Linked DNA regions of Mus musculus. Each later gene encodes a partner of the first gene's protein in a complex. Links are inferred from orthologs where the notes say so. Each region holds a gene or a part of one and is shown on either strand. Other genes may lie near its edges. The genes, in order: Upf3b and Magohb.

Region 1 (4,455 bases):
TAGTGCAGAATATAAATGAGGGAAGCTTGCTCTCCAGACCCCATTTCTTAATTGCAACACACCATGGTTATTTTTAATCATGGTGCTGAGAACCACCTGCCCAGATCAGGAACCTGCCACACTGAGGTGGGTCAGTGCCTTGTTTCTTTGGCCACCAGCAAACTGTACTGGAGACTCCCCTCCCCTTCAGACAGACACACCAGCAAAATGCTTTATTCTTCTCTTCCTTTCTTCATTTCCTCCCTCTTTCCTTCTACAGAAAACATCTTGTTGGGTATTTCATGACCCTCCTGACTCAGCTTCCCCAAAGCAGGGACTACAGAACACGCTACCACACCTGGTTAAAGAGTCCGTTTTATTGCTCAAATTTATGGCATGTACCAACTACTAAGGCATTGTACTTCATTCTGTGAATGTATCACATCTTGCTTGTCCATTCAACTGTTAATGGGTATTTGACCTTTTTCAAAGTGAAGAAAGTGAACAGAATCAAGTTGGATATTTTCCTTTCCCCATCTTGTTGGATAACAGTGTTGGGAGAGAATTCTTTAATTTGGAAAAGAAAGAAAGGTGGTGAAAACAAATGTAATACATTTTGGTTATAATTCATTGAAATTAGTATCTTGTGTGTTTCTTGAGCATGTGTAAATCCTAATGCCTCTGAAAGTATACTTCAGTTTTAAATAGCTTTTCCTTATCTGTTTATTTACCTGATGGTTGTTTGGTTGATATACGTACGGTTCCACTATCTAGCACTAATTTGCCTGAAAGTTGCTATTTAGACCACACTTTGAATTTGTCTTGATCCTTCTCTTTCAGATTCCCCAGTGCTGCAATTATAGGCTCACGTGGCATAAAACCTTGTGGGTATTTTTTATCTGAAAAAGAAAAGCACTAAACTTTTAAGATTAAGGGATCATAGCGGGGCAGTGGTGGCGCACGTCTTTAATCCCAGCACTCCGGGAGGCAGAGGCAGGTGGATTTCTGAGGTCTAGACCAGCCTAGTCTACAGAGTGGGTTCCAGGACAGCCAGGGCTACACAGAGAAACCCTGTCTCAAAAAAACAAAACAAACAAACAAAAAGATTAAGGGATCATATATACTTAAGATGTTTATGGTATTTTTATCTGAAAAAGAATCACTAAATTTTTAAGATCAAATGATCACATATACTAAAAATCTGGATGATTCCCACATTTCTAATCCTAAACGGGCAGCTGCTTTGCATGCTGGGAGTTGTAGTCCAGAAACGAGTCGTTTCTAGACAAGATGGCGGAGTTGCTAATGACGCGCTAAGGGGCGGGCCCCGAGGGAATCTGGGCCGCTAGGGGATTGGGCAGCATGGGGACTTCGGCAGGCGGGAAGTAAAGGTCAGGTATTAAAACCCTAACCCCGAGTGAAACCGAGGGCCTTAAACTCTCGCGAGATCTCCGGGAGCCCAATGGAACGCAGGGCTCTGCTTATCACTAGGGCTATTTGTTAGGGGCGGAGCTCCTGAGGTCTCTCCCGGAGAGTCGTAGGTGCCCGGCGTAACGGCTTAGCAGCTGTGCCACCGCTCTAAAGAGCGTAACCGTGGCCATGAAGGAAGAAAAAGATCATAGGCCTAAGGAGAAACGAGTGACCCTGTTTACGCCGCAGGGCGCCACAGGCGGCTGTATTGGCGCTACTGCCGAAGGCGCCAAAGGGGACGATAGGCAGGATCGCAACAGGGACAAGAAAGAAGCTTTGAGCAAGGTGCCTATCGGGTGGTGGCACAAGAGGGCGGGACATGTCCACGGACTGGGGAGCATGGCTGGGAATGGGGCTGCTCTCTTCCTCTCCCGGGTAACTCTTCTGTTTCTAACTGAATGGAAATTGCTTCGCACTGTCTCACGCACTGGTGGAAATGGGATTAGCAGGTTCTGATAAAGCCCCCGAAATGGGGGGATGGAGGGTGGGGGTGAGGGAAAAGGAGGGTTCCCAGATGAGAAAAGGTTAGTTCAGAGCTGCGACGGTGGGGTAGTTATGAGAGAGGGGAGCAGCAGGAAAGATAGGGGAACTTTAATTGGCTTGAATTGCTAAATAGACCTTGCCACACCAGGGGTTAGGGGTGGGAGTAATTGTGAAGTACGTGTTAATGCAAGCGAGTTGGGGGAGCACATTAAGAGGATTGATGACCAACCTGGAGGAGCAGACAGATGGAGGGCGATGGGTAAAGGATTTCCGTGGTACACAGAATGGGGAAGGGAGTTCATTTAGCGCATTTTAGACCGGTGAGAGAGACAATGTCGCGACACCGACAAAAGACCAGAATTCGTTCAAAATGGGTTTTAAACTCCATTTAAGAACAGAACCTGGGATTTTCCTTGCCCCAGACAGTTGTCACTTCCAGGAGTTTGTATAAACCCGCGTTATCCATACCTTTGAGTAATTCATAGCATTGGATTGCAGGAGAATATGTTCGGTGTTTTTGTAAGTGTCTGTATTTTAGAGCCGATTATCAGAAGCCATGATTCTGGTATGCCAGAAAGTTGGCTGCTATGTACTGATTTTCCTTTCCTCGTTTGTTTCCTAAGGTGGTAATTCGAAGATTACCTCCCACTTTGACCAAGGAACAGCTTCAGGAACATCTTCAACCTATGCCTGAGCACGATTATTTTGAGTTTTTTTCTAATGATACTAGGTAAAAAAAAAATTAATATTTTACCCTCCTTTTCGCTTTTTGGGCTAGTGTCTTTAATGTGTATGTGTTTGCAATTCAGTCAGACACCTGAAACCATAGTCACGTAATTGCTTTCCGTCTCTACAGCCTTTATCCTCATATGTATGCCAGAGCATATATCAACTTTAAAAACCAAGAAGACATTCTTTTATTCAGGGACCGATTTGATGGCTATGTATTCCTTGACAATAAGGGTGAGTATACGATTTAGGAGAGTTTTTCATGGTTACATTGAACAGAGTGTGTGCTGCCACTTGCGGTATGTGCCTGTAATCAGAGCAAAGGATGCAGAAGCAGGAGGGTGACTCCAAGTTTGAGGTCAGTCTGGACTACATAGAATGACCACTGAGAGAGAGAGAAGAAAAGAGATAGGGTTGAGGAGAGGGAGGAAGGGGTGTGGGAGAGCAATATACAATGCTTTCTCCAAGTCTGTGTGGGTTAGACTTAAACTCCTTTAAGATAAAATGTGCAACATTGAAAGAATTTTTATAACCCTGAGATAGTTTTCTTAACTTATGATTTCTTTCCTTTGATCCAGTGACTATAATTACCACTGATTTCTCCTGTTTGATACTTTATACTTGTTTCAAATGTCGACTTCCTGCCTCAAAGATGCTAATTAGTATCCTTTATGTTGCTAGTCCTCAGTTAGAATACTGTTTACCTTTCTCACAAAGCTGCGGAAAACTAAAGCCTCAAATTGCATCTCCCAGGCTGGAGATGTAACGCAATGATTGATGATATGTGAGACCTTGGGTTCAATTCTCAGCATCGGCAAATAACAGGAACACACCACAGCATCCTGGGATCCAAGCTACACAATGTGTAACATTAACAGATTTCGGAATGAACTCCTGACTCACTTTCCGTTTGCTGTCTGGGGTTTGCAGGGTTTAGCTAGAATGTATCCAAGTTGCCTTTTGCCACCTTTCATTTGGTTTTTGACTCATGGACAAGTGATGTGGGGTTTCCTGTCTGTTTTCATTTCCTCAATTACTTCAAGTTTGCAAATAGTAAATCCTTGTTGTGGAATATGCCTGATAACAAGTTGAAGGCTTGACAACTGTGTTTGTCCAATGTATATACACTTAGGGTCAAATAAGGTTCTCTCACCGTGCCAACTTTTACTCTTTGCTACATTGTAACTCGTGCCTAACACACGGTGCCTAATTATCCCATTTCCCAAACTGTCTTTATTTTTTCCTGACCAGCCTTTTTTTTTTGTTTTGTTTTGTTTTTGTTTTTTCTTTAATTCCAGACAGGGTTTCTCTGTATAGCCCTGGCTGTCCTGGAACTAATTCTGTAGACCAGGCTGGCCTCGAACTCAGAAATCCGCCTGCCTCTGCCTCCCAAGTGCTGGGATTAAAGGCATGCACCACCATGCCCGGCTATGACCAGCCTTTTTATTCTAGTAGATAACAATGATTTCTTATTTAGCTTCTATTGACTTATTATCCTCTTAATCAGTTTTATTACCTGCATGTGTTTATTTTGTGTGTCTTTAGGCTATGGAACATGTGGTCTCCCTTCCACCATGAGGGTCTTGGGACTTGAACTCAGATCATCAACCTTGGTGGCAAGTGCTGTTACACACTGAGCCCTCTCACCAACCTGCTGTGGATTTTTTTTTCTTTTTACAGTTTCATTTATTGTGCTTGTTTTTAAAAGTATTTTATGTGTATGGGTGTTGCCCGTATGTATGTCTGTGCATCACATTCATGCCTAGTGCCTACAGAGGCCAGACAAGGGGATCA
Region 2 (3,495 bases), on another chromosome or scaffold:
AAGCCACCCTGTGAAAAAGTATATCAACTTATTAATGCAGACAAATCTGCATGGCACATCCTCCCTGTAGGGCAGGTTCCATAGTTTTAAAGCACTCCACTGTTCTCTGTGGACACAGATGCCCAGTGACTATTATGCTAAAGGTGGTATTCCTGTAACTCGGGTTCCCGCCGGACACAGACCACTGCCTCTGCTTCCCTATACCATGCTCTGCACTGTGTTCCTGACACAGAACAGTTACTGCTACTTTCAGCTATATTAGATCTCTCTACAGATCTTTCTTCTAGGCAAAAAGAGTAGCTCATATAAAGTATAAGCCTCAGGAACACACAAAAGTGAGATTAAATATCTTCTCTCTCGACCTTGTACCTTACTCCTCCAGGGGTTGAAAAGACCCAATTTAGAAACCAAACTGTCTATACAGAGTGAAATTGGGCCTGCCGAGATCTTTGGGAGCACTTTGAGAAATATCAATTATTCTGAAGGGAATATGAGAGGCAAACACAATGGTTCACTGGAACAAAGAAATCCATCAGATCTCTCTCTGAAACACTCAAATACATGAATTTTAAAAGACAAACAAACAATTGGAAAAAGTGAATCACTGCACTCAATGAAAAGAACCATAACATTCAAATTTAGCTAGCAATGTTGTACGCACTTACAATAGAAACAATTAATAATAGCTCATTCATAATAAATAATTCATAAATGTCAAAATACCCCAACTTTCTCTGGACTAGCTAGAGAAAAGATGTAGAATACTGTCTAAATTTAGAGCTATGCACTAACACCTGTAGTAGCTGGAGGCAGCAAAGGAAATGATGCTAAGTAAGGGCTGGGAGCTGTAACCTGGAAGGAGCATTGGCTTGCCTGGCATGTATGAACATTGACTTCAACATCTAATACCAAAATAAAAGTTTAGAAAGAATATGAAGCTATATAATCAAAGTTTCAATAAGAAACCATCCTGAAAACACAGCAACTACATTACCAACTTTGACTCTATCCACTTAAGGAGTCACTAGGCACAGACCTGCCGCCCAACCCTGTCAGGGGGTGGCCACAGAGCGTCGTCCTCTTTTGTAATTTCACTGTCGTCAATAATTCTCTTCAGTTCTTCCATTACACTCTTGTGGACATAGGCCTGAAAAGTCAGTTACAATAAGATCTTTGAACGCCTGTCTGTCTTCCCACAGTTCAGCAAGATATAATAAAAGCCAGTTCCAAGTCCTAAATATCCAAACAGAATGGGAGTGAAAAGTAAACTTGACCCCAGAGCTGCAGGATAAAATTCATCCTTCTCACAAATGCTACTCTCCCTACACCCATGTCCTTTACCACACACAGGTGCCATCTGCTCACACTAGCTGCTCTGAGGCCCCATATTCTGCCAGGGTAGTAGGGGTACCAGGCAGCTTACAGTTACAGGGCCAGTATTAGCTGTAGACTGAGGGCACAGCACAAGCACACAGGAGCTGGCACTTGAAGCCCAGCCTAACTTCCTCACCTTCCATTTAAAATTGAAACTAGGAAAGAAGATAGCATTTGAAATGTAAAAGAAAACATCTAAGAAAAAAATTTATACTTCATAAAATGAATTAAATGATATGGGCTGTAAGTATTTAGGCTGACTCCTTTGTTAAAACTGCCACCAGGATGGCTCAGTGGGTAAAGAAAGCCGAGAAAAAATACCTGCGTTCAATCACTAGAACCCATATAGTAAGAGAAAAAAAAAAACAATTTCTACCAGCTGTTCTTTGATTTCTACCAGGCATACTATGTATGTTACATGTGCATACCCATACAAACACACAATAAAAAAAAACTTTTTAAAAATGCTAAAATTGCTGGGCAGTGGTGGCGCACGCCTTTAATCCCAGCACTTGGGAGGCAGAGGCAGGCAGATTTCTGAGTTCGAGGCCAGCCTGGTCTACAGAGTGAGTTCCAGGATAGCCAGGGCTACACAGACAAATCCTGACTCGAAAAAACAGAAAAAAAAAAAAAAAAAAAAAAGCTAAAATCATATGTAATTAAAATAGAAACCTTTCAATCTATAAATTAGTTTCTTCTTGAAAGAGACCCTTGACATAACTTCAGTCAACACAGACAAGATAAATGAACAAAATGTTAAAAATTTGACATTTAAAAAGAAGTTAGCCAGAGGCAGGTGGATCTCTGAGTTCTAGGCTAGTCTGGTTGGTCTACACTGTGAGAGCCAGGACAGCAGGGCTACAAAGTGAGACCCTGTCTCAAAAAAGGAAGAAAGAAAGAAAGAAAGAAAGAAAGAAAGAAAGAAAGAAAGAAAGAAAGAAAGAAAGAGAAAAAAAAGTCAAGCATGTTTGCACGCATGCACACACACATGCATGAACAAATGAACAGAACTTGCCTCTTTTCTGATCATCACGTCATTTTTATAATTACTGTTGTTGGCATATCTAAGCTTCCCTGTGTGGAGAGAAAGAAAGAACATCATGAGTAATTAGAGGTAAAGACAATTTCATAGTCCCACTTTTATTAGTATATCTACTTTTCTCATGCAAGATCAATGCTAAATAATAAATATAAAAGCAGGCTAGTAATTCTTAAAACATTCCATACCTTCAACATAAAATGGGTCAGGTTTGTTAAGGTCTATTTGCTTTCCTTCCTTCCTTTCCTTCCTTCCTTTCCTTCCTTCCTTCCTTTGAGACAAGACCTCACTGTGTAATGAGGTTGGCAGCCTTGAACACACAGGGATCTATCCACCTGCCACTGTCTCCTATGTTTGGGGATTAAAGTTGTGCACAATAAACAGTTTTATTTTCTTAATCTAGCCCTAAACACAAAGTGACTATGTCTAAGCACTAAGTATTCTCTTCAGTGTCATATGTTAGTGGTAAACGCTGACTGCACTCACAACATTTCATCTAATCTCTAAAGGAATTCCAAGAACAGCTTTCACTTTCTCGCCTCTTCACAGGAGATAAAATCAAGTTAAGCAACTTGCAGAGCTGCAGAGTATCAAAAGGTCTGTTTTGCATCAACTCTTTCTCTATTGTTCCAAAGTACTCTCTTAATTCCTTTCCTTCATATTAGTGCATTTTGCTAATAATTTTTTTTAAACTAGGAAGCAAGCAAAGGACATGAACTGCCAAGTTTGTTAGCTGCTTTATTTCAACCCATCCTTCAGACCTCTGAAGCCCCTGGTGTGTGCTTCCCTGCATGGTGAGTCAGTTAGGGGCCCTGATACAGCTGTAATGTCTTTCTCATCTGCTAAACTGACAGGTTACCCTACTGGGGTGTACCCCTCAGGAACTGTAGATCTCATGGTTCATTATTTTCCATGTAAGTGGAACAATGCAGTGGCAGAGACGCATGAGAATAAATCCTTACATAAAATTCTCCTGATACTGTTGGAGGTCTTAATTTGAATGACTCAGGGTGCTAAGAACAAGCTGGTGTTATTCAAATGCAAGAGGAACAAGAACAGAATTACAAGAGGAATAAAATTTT

What was found.
Region 2: Upf3b (region 1) and Magohb share a complex: the UniProt entries of both Homo sapiens proteins name them as parts of the mRNA splicing-dependent exon junction complex. The link is inferred for Mus musculus from reciprocal best matches to the Homo sapiens genes UPF3B and MAGOHB.

Annotation. Positions count from the first base shown.
Region 1 is NC_000086.7:37,107,355-37,111,809, reverse strand, and holds the start of Upf3b (regulator of nonsense transcripts 3B), read left to right. Parts: upstream 1-1,487; 5' UTR 1,488-1,578; coding exon 1,579-1,734; intron 1,735-2,555; coding exon 2,556-2,662; intron 2,663-2,788; coding exon 2,789-2,895; intron 2,896-4,455. UniProt on the Homo sapiens protein: Involved in nonsense-mediated decay (NMD) of mRNAs containing premature stop codons by associating with the nuclear exon junction complex (EJC) and serving as link between the EJC core and NMD machinery.
Region 2 is NC_000072.6:131,287,000-131,290,494, forward strand, and holds part of Magohb (protein mago nashi homolog 2), read right to left. Parts: intron 2,449-3,495; coding exon 2,390-2,448; intron 1,148-2,389; coding exon 1,037-1,147; intron 1-1,036. UniProt on the Homo sapiens protein: Required for pre-mRNA splicing as component of the spliceosome. Plays a redundant role with MAGOH in the exon junction complex and in the nonsense-mediated decay (NMD) pathway.